Saccharomyces cerevisiae S288C: one gene and its partner. The gene in region 2 interacts genetically with the main gene of each other region. Each region holds a gene or a part of one and is shown on either strand. Other genes may lie near its edges.

The links.
Region 1: of OPT2 (region 2) and CTA1, changing one enhances a phenotype caused by changing the other (phenotypic enhancement), as found in Saccharomyces cerevisiae (one study listed by BioGRID).

What each region holds. Positions count from the first base shown.
Region 1 is NC_001136.10:965,406-971,358, forward strand, and holds CTA1 (catalase A), read right to left. Parts: upstream 4,276-5,953; coding exon 2,728-4,275; downstream 1-2,727. Other genes in the region: CHL4 (Chl4p), read left to right, coding at 1-1,084; ubiquitin-protein ligase RMD5, read right to left, coding at 1,152-2,417; RKM4 (ribosomal lysine N-methyltransferase), read right to left, coding at 4,585-5,953. UniProt on the Saccharomyces cerevisiae protein: Catalyzes the degradation of hydrogen peroxide (H(2)O(2)) generated by peroxisomal oxidases to water and oxygen, thereby protecting cells from the toxic effects of hydrogen peroxide.
Region 2 is NC_001148.4:921,605-930,968, reverse strand, and holds OPT2 (Opt2p), read left to right. Parts: upstream 1-4,031; coding exon 4,032-6,665; downstream 6,666-9,364. Other genes in the region: YPR195C (uncharacterized protein), read left to right, coding at 2,675-3,004; HPA2 (histone acetyltransferase), read left to right, coding at 7,590-8,060; AQY1 (Aqy1p), read right to left, coding at 8,192-9,109. UniProt on the Saccharomyces cerevisiae protein: Transports tetra- and pentapeptides. Does not transport glutathione.

The sequences.
Region 1 (5,953 bases), on a different chromosome or scaffold from region 2:
AAGTAAACCAGAGAAATTTAAGTGGCTTCCATCAAAAGCTTTACGGGGAGATGGGAAACCTTACGTAGTAAAGCTCCAACCTGCCAAATTTATAGAAAATTTACAAACAGATCTAGCGAAAATTTACCATTGTCATGTTTACATGTTTAAACATCCCTCTTTGCCAGTGTTAATTACCAGAATACAGCTATTTGACAGCAATAATTTATTTTTGAGTACGCCTAATATAGGGAGTATAAATAAAGAGTCTCTTTACAACAAGTTAGACAAATTCCAAGGGAAACCATTAATATCAAGGAGACCATATTACGTTGCATTCCCGCTAAATTCTCCAATAATTTTCCATTCAGTTGACAAGGATATTTATGCTAGACTAGTTTTGCAGAGCATTAGTCGAACGATATCAGAAAGAGAAACAATCATCTTCAAACCGGTACAGAAAATACCCGTGAAATCAATACATAATATAATGACTTTATTAGGACCTTCGAGATTTGCGGAGTCTATGGGCCCATGGGAATGTTATGCTAGTGCTAACTTTGAACGGTCACCACTACACGACTACAAAAAGCACCAAGGCCTTACTGGTAAAAAGGTAATGGTTAGAGAATTTGATGATTCTTTCTTAAATGACGATGAGAATTTTTACGGAAAAGAAGAACCTGAAATTAGACGACTAAGGTTAGAGAAAAACATGATCAAATTCAAAGGTTCAGCAAACGGCGTAATGGATCAGAAATATAATGATTTGAAAGAATTTAACGAACATGTCCACAATATTAGGAATGGAAAGAAAAATGAAGATTCTGGTGAGCCAGTGTACATTTCTAGATACAGTTCCTTAGTTCCTATTGAAAAAGTTGGATTCACTTTAAAAAACGAAATAAACAGTAGAATAATTACCATAAAATTGAAATTTAATGGTAATGATATTTTTGGGGGATTACACGAACTATGCGATAAAAATTTAATAAATATTGATAAAGTTCCTGGGTGGTTGGCTGGAGAAAATGGATCGTTCTCAGGAACGATAATGAATGGAGATTTTCAGCGAGAGCAGGTTGCTAAAGGTGGTTTACTGTAGAAAACTACTGTGTTCTGTTATCGCTTCCAATAAAAAAAAAAAAAAAAAACCTATGCAAAAATTTCAGTCAAAGCATAACAAAACGAACCTTTTTTGTACTGCTCATTGAAGTATTTACGGGGCAGTATGGGCACTTGAAAGTAATTGTTCCGTTCTTCGATAATCTGTCTAGCGCCTTTTTAGAAATGATGTGATGGCATGCCAGTGAATAAGGAGGATTTTCTGTAGTGGTTTCCTCCTTTAAGACGGGACAGATGAAGATCGGATGGAAATGAGTCAGAAAATCTGGTAACTTGACATCAAATGGCAACTCATCTTTCGTAGTCCAGTCAACGTGCGCTAACTCCCTGATGGTTTTGTATTTGATGAAAAATTGGAAAGAAATTAAACCACTCAATACTATCAAAAACAAGGGAGAGTCAAAGAAAATATGTTTTGCAGCACAATATTCTTTTATAAATAACGACGTGCATTCTTTTAATTCCTTATTTACTTTAGAATCAATATCTTCAATAGGTTGACCTATTAGCGATTTAGTTAATAATGGTACGACGTTTTGCATTAATTCCTTCTCCCTATGTCTAAAGCAATCCAGGGGTGCGTTCTGTGTTATTTGGTAGTACAACTCTACCGGATTTCCATGCTTCACTATCTGCATTGCTGACAAAGTGTATAAATCAAATTTTAGGGACGATAAAGCCGTATGGTTAGATGATAAGCTTTCCATTTCATTGGAGCACCATTTCAGACAGCTTTCTGTGTCACCCTTTTTAAGATCATGTACGATTTGGCCCATCTCAATAAATTCAGTAGATTCTTTATTAGTAATTCCGTAGACATCTTTTAGATACTGGAAAGCCTCATTTTTATTTCCTAATGGCATGTTGTCTATACTATACCTCAAAATATGGTAACCGATGGCTTCATTAACATTTTCCATTGTCTCTTTCGGTAATTTATTGACATATACGCTATCTATATCAAATTCTTTTAATTTGTTCAGCGTGCTTTTGTTGAAGCGATTCGACTGCTGAGAAACGTACTTTATTTGTTTCTTTACTGAATGGTCCCATTGCCTCTGTGACTTGCTTAGCTTCTCAATAATTAGTTCTCTTTTTCTCTTAAACTTTTGTTTCTCCTTATCACTCAGCTTATTATAGACTTCTGGTTTTGATTCCTGAATATGCTTGTTTAAGTGCGCTTTCAACTTCTTTAATTGACTCTTGAATTCATGAGTATGATCAAGACATTTTTGAAGGTTTGTCTCTTCCAGATTGCTGTCGGTATAAAATTTCGCAAACTCTGTCTCAAAGCTATCTAGTAATTCAGACATCGTTTCTTGGTTCCCTACTCAGTGCTGCATCTCTCTTGAAGACACACTTATCTCATACTGAATGTGTTGAACTTTACCCCTAATAATAGAGATTCCTCAGCTTTTTCCCCGGCGCGACGAGCTTTCCTATGTGTGAAATGATAATTTTTTTAACTTTCTAACACGAGAATATGAGCATCACCTATTAGTCGTATAAATAAATAATTCATAACAAAATACATAAATTGTAATAAATAAAATGTGTTAAAAATACACACTATCATAAATAATTGTCGTGGAAACAACGCCACTCATTTGTTACTTGAGCGTTTCAAAATTTGGAGTTACTCGAAAGCTCAGAAGCATGTTTTGCCTCAGCTACTTTTTTAATTGCCTCAGATAGTCCCTTATCAACACGAGCAAACATATCATAAACGCGCTGCTGTATTTGAGGACAGGCGCCTTCTACATGAATGCCGATGTTATATGCCAAGTTCTTTTGCTGTCCAGGTTGTTTACCCAAAACGCGGTAGAGATTTCTTGCTTGCACGAAATCTACATCACCTGGGGATGTTGCCCAATGATAAGGGATAGCTGGCCCATTCCATACCTCTTGGTGTTGTTGAATGGGTCTGTCCTGTTGGATATACGTGTACGATTTATCGTTGGCCAAATATGTAGGTTCTGAGCCGAAGTTGCCGTTAACATTCATCGGTCCATCTCTGATAGCGGGATTGAAAAATTTAGATGCATATGGACAGTTTACGGGTATTTGATGGAAGTTAGGACCTAGCCTGTATCTATGAGCATCCGCATATGAAAACAAACGGGCCTGTAATACTGGATCAGCGCTTGCTTCTTGGTAAGGAACCGTGGTACTGGGGGCGAAGGCAGCTTGTTCCACCTGTGCGAAGAAGTTCAGTGGATTCTCGTTCAAAACAATCTTACCCACACGCCGTAAAGGGAATTGCCCCTGAGGCCATACTTTAGTCAAATCAAAGACTGAAAATGGTAATTTTTTGGCATCGCGTTCGGTCATTGTTTGAATATAAACTGTCCAGGAAGGATAGTTTCCATTCTGAATAGCCTCAAATAAATCCTGCTGGCAGTAATCTGGATTGGATCCCGCAATTTTGGTAGCCTCTTCTATGGTCAAATTCTTTATTCCTTGATCGGTTTTGATATGAACTTGCACATAATGCCAATCTCCGTTTTTATTGGACCATTTATAGGTATGACCAGAATAACCATGCATACTACGGTAGTTGGCAGGGGTACCACGGTCTGAAAAAAGGATCATTACTTGATGAATGGCCACCTGATTTTCAGGAGTGGTGAGGAAATCCCAAAACATGTCAGCATCCCTTAGGTTGGTTTGTGGGTTTCTCTTCTGTGTGTGGATAAAGTGAGGGAACTTGGAAGGGTCTCTGATAAAGAATACCGGTGTATTATTGTAGACCCAATCTAAATTACCTTCTTCAGTGTAGAATTTGGTGGCAAACCCCCTTGGATCACGAACCGTGTCGGCACTACCTTTATCACCACCCACAGTCGAAAATCTTGTTAGACATTTCGTTCTTTTCCCAATTTTACTAAACATAGCAGACCCGCAGATATCAGTAATGTCATCGGTTACTTCAAAATAGCCGAAGGCACCAGAACCATGAGCATGTGGATTCCTTTGAGGAATATTTTCCCTGTTGAAATGAGCCAAAGAATCAATTAAGTTATAATCTTGCAAAAGCAAAGGGCCATGTTCCCCAATACGTTGGGTGACAAATGGTTCATTGATTGGATTACCAGTGGAGTTTGTCACAACTCTATCCTCTCTTACATCAGAGTAATTTACTTCATTTTTTTCTTGTCCCAATTTCGACATCTTCTAGGGTTCCAAATTTATTTGTAAGTACTATTATATTTATTTAACTTACCTTTTAAATAAACCTACAAGAAATTCAAATGTACGATTTGGACATTACAGTGAAGAATGCTTTCTACATCTCTTTATATGTATGGCGATATCAAAACTGGTTGTTTCTCCAATTCTGTCACTGTGGGGATTTTCGGAGTTTATATTTGTTAAAGCCGTCCTTTTTCGGATTAAGGGACCCCACCAACTTGCGCGGCTAATTCCGGCCAACTTTTTGCATTACTAATTGCGGCTTTAAATAGTGGTTAGAACAACCGCTCACTTCTTCACGCAAGGACGTTTGACAGAGCTTTTTTCTTCCTCTGTCAACTTTCTCTTTAAAATATTAGTTAGCAGCTTTTCATCAGGAATAACCTTGTAATTCTTGTCGATGGTTTCTTCACAAACTTGCAGCGAATCTATTTCGCTTTTCAAAACTCTCCGAGCCATAACATCTCTTAGTTCTTCCCTTGTTAATGAGTTTCCTTTCGAAGGTTTTTCGATAGAAACGCACTTTTTTATGGGGTAATCGGCTAGACGCTTCATAATACAACGTTTCCATGTGGCACTACAGTTTGTAGTGGCGCGGGCACCTTCTATCAATTGTAAACACTTCTTTACAATTCTCTCCACTTGCCTTTCCATTGCTTTTATGTCCAGTTTGCATAAACCTGGAATTTGGCAAAGAATTGTCAAGATTTGGACCAAAAGTATTAGTTGAGGCAACAATTCACCATTATTATAACAATCATATGAATCTAGTACTATTTCTTCACCTTCTAAGAATTCTTGAATATTGGCGTTATTGCGTAAGATATCAATACACCTGTCCAAAAATTCAGTATTCGTCTCAAAAGTCTCTTTTAACGCCTCGACAATATTTTCAAGTAACACTTCTCCAAAATCATACTTCGAACCGTCCCATTCAACATACCCATATCTTCTTAGTAGTTCCGAATTTGGATGTTCTCCGTATATGTTGTACACTTGTTCATTCTTTTCAATATCCCTCAAAGCAACCATCTTTAAACAGTTAGAGTCGTAAGTTAAATTAGCGTTGCATTTACTGGTATCTGCATTCAACATATCAGCAAGTGGAATCATCGATTTCAAGTAGCGCTCATTTTCAAGTTCTTCTTCACTGGTTTCTTCTTCTTCATTTTCATTTACACTACTATCTTGCATTTCCAAATCAAAGGAGTAACTCAATATAATGCTTGCAATATAGGCAAAATTATCAAACTCGAAGGACGTCGCTACACGTGAAAATTCTCCACCAATTTGTTTGATTGATTTAATAATTCTTTCATGCATCTCTTTGGCTTCCTTTTTTCCTATTCTTTCAAGGACAAGTGATGGTTTTAAAAGTTGCAGTTCATTATCATCCCAAAAAATTAACGCGTTCATATCGCTTGGTTTGTTCCAAACTTTAAAGTAAGGCGCCCATCGGCTTCTTTCTTGCAAAACTTCCATCTCATAAAGTATACAGATAATTAAACCTTCCCACGATCCGGTTTCGTTCAGGAACTTATCCTTGAGAGAAGGATAATCCTTTATCAGTTGAGATGTTGTAACGCTTAAAACAGAACTACGAGGTATTTTAAACAATGTTTCATCCTTCTTAATCTTTTGAGTGGCAACTACTGCG
Region 2 (9,364 bases):
CTGCTAGAGAAAAGAAAAACTTTAAATCTGCATTGCAGATTTAAACTACGAAAAACGGTGAGAAAAAAACTAGGCAGGGATTAACTTATACTTTGCATAAGCCGGAGAAAGTAAAACGAGGGTTCTTTATGCTACAGTTGTATACTTATGCCAAGCACATTCAAGGTGAGATTTGGATACACCTATAACATTCCTATTAGGCGTCTCTAATGATGCAATGATACGAAGGTACTTTTAAAGGATTACGTTTCGGCGAGTATTAGCACAGATACGCAACTATCGTACGATATCACTTAGGTGAACATGATTGTGACTTTTACCTTACGTGTTGCTCAAAAAACTTTAATATGAAATCCGTGTATTTCCGGTCATTAACTCCGGCTCGATTTTTTTGCTAGAGTAAAAAAGAACACGCAAGCTGGCGAAAGAGTTGGGAAAGAATCATGTGACTAAACAGAGCAGCCTTCCATATAGTCTTCCATATCCTCACGAGATGCTAAGCCACAAACTTTTTGCATGACTTTCATTGTGCACTTGACTTCCGAGCACTAAATTGATCTATAATGATACAGATAATTGCGTACCTCCAACATGGTCATGGTTCAAAGTTTGGTGATATGGGCGACATGGATTTGTTCGGAGGTAAGAAACAGGAAAAGTTATCTGCAATGGTTCTTACAAAACAAATAATCTTTGCTCTTTAAACTTTTTACTCAAAGAGATATTTAACCCCTTCTCTGTGATTTAACTCTTCCACTAGAGCCCATTTCTTGTTCGTTAATAGTGTAATTTGTACAATACATATTATTTTTCTTTCTTATAAGAGTTATTATTTTGTATCTCTGTAATATGTAGCATCGTAGTATCGTAGTATCGTTAGGAAGCTGTAAAAGATGGGAGTGGGAAGGCAGTATTCAAAAAAATGCGAAGTCATCGAAATGAGAGATGCTCTGAAGTAAAGAGCAGCAACTTCAAGATCCTAAGGGTGTACATGAGGTTACAATGACCTCAACAGCTACTAAACTAACGGACCTAGATATATCAGTCCGAAGGCTGCTTTTGGTCGAGCAAAAATTGATTTTTCGTAATAACGATAAAGTATAAAACGTGTGTTTATAGGTTTTCAAATTGTCTCTATGGTTTTACATCTCTTATCTTCGATTTTACTGTGTTTTGTACATTGATTACAAGTTGAGGGTGTAACTGAGTTATTAGAATTGAAAAGGTCTTCGCTCGCCACTTGTTTTTTGTGATTTAGTACCCCCCGCCTAAACGTGAATATTAGGCTCGGATTATGGTTTAGTCAATCTTAAGATCGAACAGGAATAAATGGTAGCAATTTCAAATGTAAAAGAGATGTGTTATTTGGCCTAAGTGCGTAGAATGGCGACGTCGAAACGAATATGTAACTTGTCAGACTAACATGATGTTAGCAACGAGAGTTTCGTAACTAGAAATGCCAACAAATAAACTTTGTGGAAAAAAAAATCTTGCAGTAGTAGTAAAAAGCATGAAACATATTACCCACCTAATCTTGGCCTCATCTTAATTACAACAATTATAGTTCCATAAATTTAAGACCCGCGCCTGTAATAATGCTGACGCCTATCATGAATTTCTCTTCTTCTACGAAATTATGGCGACAGTAGTCTACCCTATGGACTTTCATATAAAAAAGTTCACATTTCATTTGATAATACAACTATTATTTGCGCTAAATCTGTATTACCATCCTTTCCATATATTACTTTTCAAACTCACCTGTTAGATGTCTCTTTAACAATTTGGTCCTTCTAATATATCTTACCTTGCTTTCCTTATTCGTAATATTTGCCATGCCAGAGAATCTCTGAAATGCAAAGTTTATACTTTAAAAGGGTTATTTTTGAATTTGGTAATCCTAAGCATTAGTAGATATTCTTTCACTTATTTTTTGGAAATTGTTTCGCTAGATTACTCGTGCACGCAAAAATAAATGTTTCTTGGATCCGATGAGGCGTCACAACTTGCCGCGTCTGCTGTCATTGACTTTTACCCGCTAGAGCAGTAATGAAAAAGACGTTTTTAATAAACTTACCTGCTCAACTTTAGACTTTAGCATCGAAAATTATGGGTCGTTTAGATAAATAATGAAGTTATTCTAAGCCGCACGTAGTAACAAATCTTGAAGTAAAGGACACCAAAAATTGTATTCCGTGCTGTGGAATGTTGGTGCCAGCATTAATCGAATGGTCCATTTCTTTTCTTACCTTTTTGAAGGAACTGATCCTTCAATTCATATTTTTCACTAACGAAAGAAAATAAAGATTTAGTAGGATACCAAGTACTAAAAGCAAAAAAAGAGTATAGTATTTACATAATCTACATATGTGCAAAGGCTCCTCCTTATTTAGAGAAGAAACTTTCCCTTTCCTTAACCGATGCGGTAATTCAACACGTGAATTTCAGCTATTTTAAGTTTGTTTGGTATTCACAGTTCAGAATATTTCTTTTTGAGTCAGCTCATTTCACGTATTTGCAATGTATGTCATTTAGTTGAGATGATAATGAAAGAGCCCCACGCGCTGGTGCGATCTATGATGAAAAATGTAAATACGAAACTTTACTAAAAATAAATAGGGCAGAATATAGATAAGCAAGAATAGAAAGATCACAGATTTGACTGCACAGTCAAATGAATTCTCTCATCCCTCTTTTAGTGGAAGCATCAACATACATTGTAAGAGGAGAAAGCAGCATCTCAATTGCCATTGGAATAGGGCCTCAAGCTAGCAGGAGTGTGCCGTACCACATTCTTTGCAGGGGATGTGACGGCACGGTAACAACTTTTCGTACGTGGCATACGCAACCACTCGGGCCTTGCAATACAATCATCATAGGCAGAAAAGGTAATGAGACAACCGGCGGCGCAGAACAGAGGAGGCAGCAGCACTTAACGTCTGATTCAGCAACAAAAGCGTCATTGGTGGGTTTTTGTGGGCTGTATTATTATTTCAGGAAATAGTAACTGAACGTGTCAACTTTGCATTAACGCGTTTTTCCTATTTGGGTACGGAGATATTTATGTTTTGATAAGCAAATGCTTCAATTGTGCCGTGCGCATCATCAATCCCACTCACTGAGGAACTCTATAATGAAAAAAAAACAAACAGGCAAAAGCAGATAGACCAATAATTGATATCTGATTTTTCACAAAAAATGCAGGAGAGATCAGCATTAAACGGATCCATCACATCCACCGGACGAATCCGTCTCAAATATGGCAGCCACGCTGGTGTGACACATAATATTACTGCAACACTTCTTATCTCATTATTTTTATCATGGTAAAAGAAGTCAACACTATGCGAGGAATACCAAAAGAAAATTTGGTTCACATCATGGTGTCAGTAAAAGCAACCGACAAAAATCGGGGGGTTGCTGTCCGACGTAGTTTCTTCGTTATAATTTTCAATAATCCCACATTTCGTTGTTAACCTTTTGCAAAAATTGATGTAGTTTGTTTTCCTCTTGGCCCCTGTTGTGGTTACCGAACACGTGAATCGCCATTGCGGTTGTCAATATCAGCCCATTGGGTTTTATGAAGATTCGTAACACCTTCGATTATTTAAGTTTATTCTCTTATCTACAATAATAATAGCGTTCTTTTACAATTGGACGCTGTTATCTTACTTCTGAATGTTCATGGATTGGAAATTTTCAATCATTTCACGAATTATTAGCAATGAAGATAAGTAACATTAAAAAAAATATTGATATCAACTTGCTAGGTTTCTTCTCGCTTCAAAAAAATTTATAAATGGGAATGGAACACTATCCTGTGTAAACTTAAGTCATGTCTCAAGTCAGTTGTTACTTATATTCATTCCTATCGAAACATCCCAAAAAATAATATTTGAAACACTTACAATCATACATTGAACGTCTAAACAACGGCGGCATTTTTTTAATAGCAGAAACGAACATATTAGCTTATTCTACAACTAGTAGGGTTTGTTATACGCAATATTGCTGTTGAATTATTAGAAATTATGAGTGAAACAGTCAAAGATAAAGTTATAATTGATGAGAAGGTATCCACAAAAGGTACTGTTGATTACGCCGAGGGTGCTGAGTATTCTGAGAGGCTTTCAAATCATTCATCAGACTTTTCTCAGTGGTATACGGATGAACAGATACTGCACTTTATGAAGAAGCTGGGTTATGAAAATCGCACTCTTTATGATATTCCGGAAGACGTTGCGTATATCCTCAAAAAAATGCCTGAATTGACACTTGAGGATTCCTTCAAAATACTAAAAGACTCTATCATCTATTTCAAGGATGATGAGAACATTCCACACGATCAATATGAGGAGTGGAAGAGATTGGTTGACTTGGAGGACTTGGATTCAAAAGAGGGGATAGATGAATATGATAGCTTTGACATTAGAGCATTTGCTTCTGCTATTAAATTTCATTCGCCTTACCAAGAGGTTAGAGCTGTTGTTGATCCAGAAGATGATCCCACCATTCCAGTGGAGACATTCCGAGCATATTTTCTGGCAATAATTTGGTCTGTCATCGGTTCAGGATTTAATGAGTTTTTTTCACACAGGGTGGTTTCAATTTCACTGAATACTCCAATTATCCAAATGTTTTTATATATCTGTGGTAAGGCTTGGGCTAAAACTATCCCCTGTTGGACTATAACCATCAGGGGCAGAAAGTATGGTATCAATATCGATAAACCATGGACCCAAAAAGAGCAAATGTTTTCAACCTTGTTATATGCAATTTGTCAAGGCGCGTTCTATACTCATTACAATATTCTAACGCAAAAACTCTTTTACCATTCTGCTTTCTCGTTTGGCTACCAATTTTTACTTTCGTTATCCGTACAATTTATTGGATTTGGATTTGCTGGCATCCTTAGAAAATTCGTTGTTTATCCAGCCCGTGCACTATGGCCAACAGTCATGCCAACTATTGCTATCAACAAGGCACTATTGGGTAAAGAAAAGCATGAATCTGGAATGAGCAGGTATAAATTCTTTTTCTTGACTTTTTTTATCATGTTCATCTATAACTGGTTTCCCACTTACATTATTAATATTCTAAACACTTTCAATTGGATGACCTGGATCAAGCCAAGTAACATTAATCTCGCAAACATCACGGGAGGAGTCACTGGTCTTGGGATTAATCCTATCTCATCTTTTGACTGGAATGTTATTTCGTTTAATTCTCCTTTAGTTTACCCATTTTGGTCATACTTAACACAATATCTTGGTTGCATATTAGCAGCTTTAATTGTTATTGCAGTATACTATAGTAATTATATGAGTTGCCAATACCTGCCAATATTCACAAATTCTTTGTATACTAATACTGGCCATTCCTTTAAAGTTACTGAGGTATTAGACAGTGACAATAAGCTAGATGTGAAAAAATATCAAAGCTACTCGCCACCATACTATAGTGCTGGAAATTTGGTATCATATGGTGCTTTCATTTGCGCATATCCTCTGATGATTACATGGTCGTTTATTGTACACTCAAAGTTATTGTTCAATGCTTTCAAAGATTGGGCTTTGAATTTGTGGGCCATGAGAAAACTTAAATCTTGGGTCACAATGTTCAAAAGCGATTACAGGGCGCTCGACGATTATGATGACCCACATTCTAATGCCATGAAAAACTATAAAGAAGTTCCAGATTGGTGGTATTTTGCCATATTGATAGGTTCACTTGTTGTTGGAATAGCTGTTGTAGAGCACTACCCAACAAATACACCAGTTTGGGGTCTTTTTGTTTGTTTAGGATTTAATTTTGTTTTCTTGATTCCAACTACTATCCTTCAAGCAACCACTGGTTATTCGTTTGGTTTGAATCTACTAATTGAAATGGTGATGGGGTACGCTTTACCAGGTAATCCAATCGCCATAATGATTTTGAAGGCTTTTGGTTATAACATCGACGGCCAAGCAGATAATTACGTTTCTAACTTAAAAATAGCGCATTATTGTAAGATTCCGCCAATGGCGCTATTCAGGGGACAATGTGTTATAGTTTTCATTCAGATATTTGTCAATCTAGGTGTTCTGAATTGGCAAATCTCCAATATCAAAGACTTTTGCACACCTCATCAAAACGCAAAATTCACCTGTCCTGATGCTGTGACCTACTATAATGCTTCCGTTGTCTGGGGTGCAATTGGGCCAAAAAGAATTTTCAATTACATTTATCCAATATTTAAATGGTGTTGGTTGATAGGCGCATGCATTGGCATATTTTTTGGTGTTTGGAAGCGCTGGGGTAAGTTTTATCCCAGATATTTTGACCCAATGTTATTTGTAGGTGGAATGCTTAATATGAGCCCTCCATATAACCTGATGTATTACACTTCTGGTATGATTGTTAGTTACATTTCCCAGTACTACATGAAAAGACACCATTTAAATCTGTGGGAGAAATATAATTATGTTTTATCGGCAGGCTTTTCAACGGGCTTGGTTTTATCAGCTATTATCATTTTCTTTGCTGTCCAATATAAAGACACAGCTTTTAATTGGTGGGGCAATACAGTTCCGTATGCTGGTGCCGATGGCGTTGGCTATCCTCTAAAGAACATAACTGATACAGCAAATGGCTATTTCGGCTATGCTCCAGGACACTATCCATGACTAGAACTTTTCTTAGAACGCTATCATTTCTTTATTTTTTTTTCTCCCCTGCACTTGTCTTTTCTATCAGTCACCTGCATGTATTTAGTTTTTATTCTTCTATCTATAGTACAGAGTTACTTTGATATGTAAAAAGCCATCATTTTGTCTTCATACCTGCCAAAACTATAACAGTACACTCTAGTTCAATATTTTTGACACTTTTCATGCTTCTCGCCTTTTCTCTGTGTATGCGGATGTTATCAATAAAGAAAAATGCTTTGATACCAGAATAGGAACTACATTTTTTTTTGGCTCATCGACGAAGTGATAAGGAGCCTGGCAATTGAAAATCAATCAAGAATATTTTTTGCTTCCAACTACAAGTAATGATGGTGTTTATTTTGCATGAATTTTGGTATTATTGCAGAAATACAAGTGGTAAATAGTTTTGTAAACGTATATTTCAAGTTGGAATGAGATGCGTTGCACTACTGGATAATTACTCCGGTTGAAGCATATTCAAATACAGTATCACCGTTTTTTGGGATGATTCAGGGTTAAGCCAGCCGAGTATTGAGAGAGATTGACAACATAGCATGCGGCTGATGTCAGATTTCGAACATTTGAAATTTTCTTGCCTTTATAAGACGTTTGCGAAATACAAGTTACAGGCCGACTACACAATGTATTTATTTCTATTTAATTTCTGCATTGGGTTAGCCTTTTAACGTCATAGTTCATTGTACTTCTCAGTCACTTCTTGATTTGCTTTTATTGGTTGAACATTTTTATGGACGGAACTAACGGGTGGCAAGAACTACCAATTATATTAGGGGAGCGGCAATCATTAAGAGAGGGAACGCTATAAATAGAGCAAAAAGGGCTAAGTATTGCTCTTAGTATTTTATATGCCAAGAAAGCAAACAGCCCTTTCTGTGTAGCATGTCCAACACTAGCGAAGATAACATTACCGTAAGGTTTGTAACCGAAAACGATAAGGAGGGTTGGCAAAGGCTTTGGAAATCCTATCAAGATTTTTATGAAGTCTCTTTTCCCGATGACTTGGACGATTTCAATTTCGGCAGATTCCTAGATCCTAACATTAAAATGTGGGCAGCCGTAGCTGTGGAAAGTTCGAGCGAAAAAATTATTGGAATGATAAACTTTTTCAACCATATGACTACTTGGGATTTCAAGGACAAGATATACATCAACGATCTCTATGTTGATGAGAATTCTAGGGTCAAAGGCGCGGGCGGCAAACTAATCCAATTTGTCTACGACGAAGCTGATAAACTGGGCACACCAAGCGTGTATTGGTGTACGGATGAGTCAAACCATAGAGCTCAGCTGCTATACGTCAAGGTCGGCTATAAAGCCCCAAAAATATTATACAAGAGGAAGGGATATTAAAAACACTAATTACCTCAGTAGTATGGATGTATAGAAAAAAAAAAATTAAAAACAATTAATCTTACTAGTTTTTGCCGAGTATTATAACATTAAGTGCTAGTGAGCGAGAAATAAAGAAAAGGAGGGAAAAATTAGACTTCAGCCACAGCAGAGGAACTGCTGGTTTCACCTTTTTTTTGAGCTTTTTCCTTGGTGCTGGCAGCCTTTTCAGCGGTAACGTAGGTTGTGTAGTCTAAGATTTGCAATAATTGCCATACAGACCATGCTAAAATGGATCCTAACAGCGTGCCAATCCAATAAATCCAGTGGTAATGAGGGAAGTATCTGGCTGCGACAGCAGCACCCAAGGACCTCGCAGGGTTGACACCTGTGCCTGTGTATGCAGTCAAAGCGACGTGTGCGATAAACAGGGAGATGCCGATGGGCAGCGCAGCCATAAAGTTGGTTTCACGCTTCTCCACAGCCGTCATTAAGACTGTTAAACATAGGATAGCGGTGCCGAACATCTCCAGGAACAGACCCCTCGTCCTAGAGCAGCCCAGGCCCAAAGAATTGGCAAAGAGGACTTCACCAGGTGTCATGGCGCTTGCAGCGCCTCCAGCGGCCATTCCAGCAACAATCTGCGAAACCCACATAACGACACATCTTGTAGGAGAGACGGCTCTCGCCAAGCACAGCGAAAGCGACATAGCAGGATTCAAAGCCCCACCAGAGACACCGGCAAAACACCAGATAGAAAACATGACGGAAAATCCGAAACCGATGGCAATCATAATCAATTGACCCGGATGGGAACCGTCAGGCGCTGCAACGAGTGCGACATCATGGTTAGCGACATTGCAGATAACGTAAGCGCACCATAAAAACATGAATGTGCCGCAGAACTCACCGACCGCAGCGATAAAGTGGTCTCTCAGGGTGTCCCTAGAGATTTTAAAGCGATGGTGCTTTGTTTCCGGCTGCTCCGGAGGGATGTAGGCGTCGTCCACACCGGTAGGATCCAGACGTGTATGTTGCTTGTCGGTATCGTTCGAATCGTTCGAAGACATGTTATAGTTAATTACATGTTACTTTATGTGCCGTATTGACAGACAGCACCAAATACAAAGAATAAAAAAAGAGAAGGAAAAAAAAAACAAAATATCAAAAGGACAAGACGAATTGTGGGAATCGACACTCGGAAGAACAGACAGAATGCGATGCAGGGAAAAGCACTGCGCTTAATATACCTCGAATTCAAACGGCATATCACACAATTTCCGACGTAAAATATTTTTCCTTCTTTCTTTTCCTTGTCGCGTATA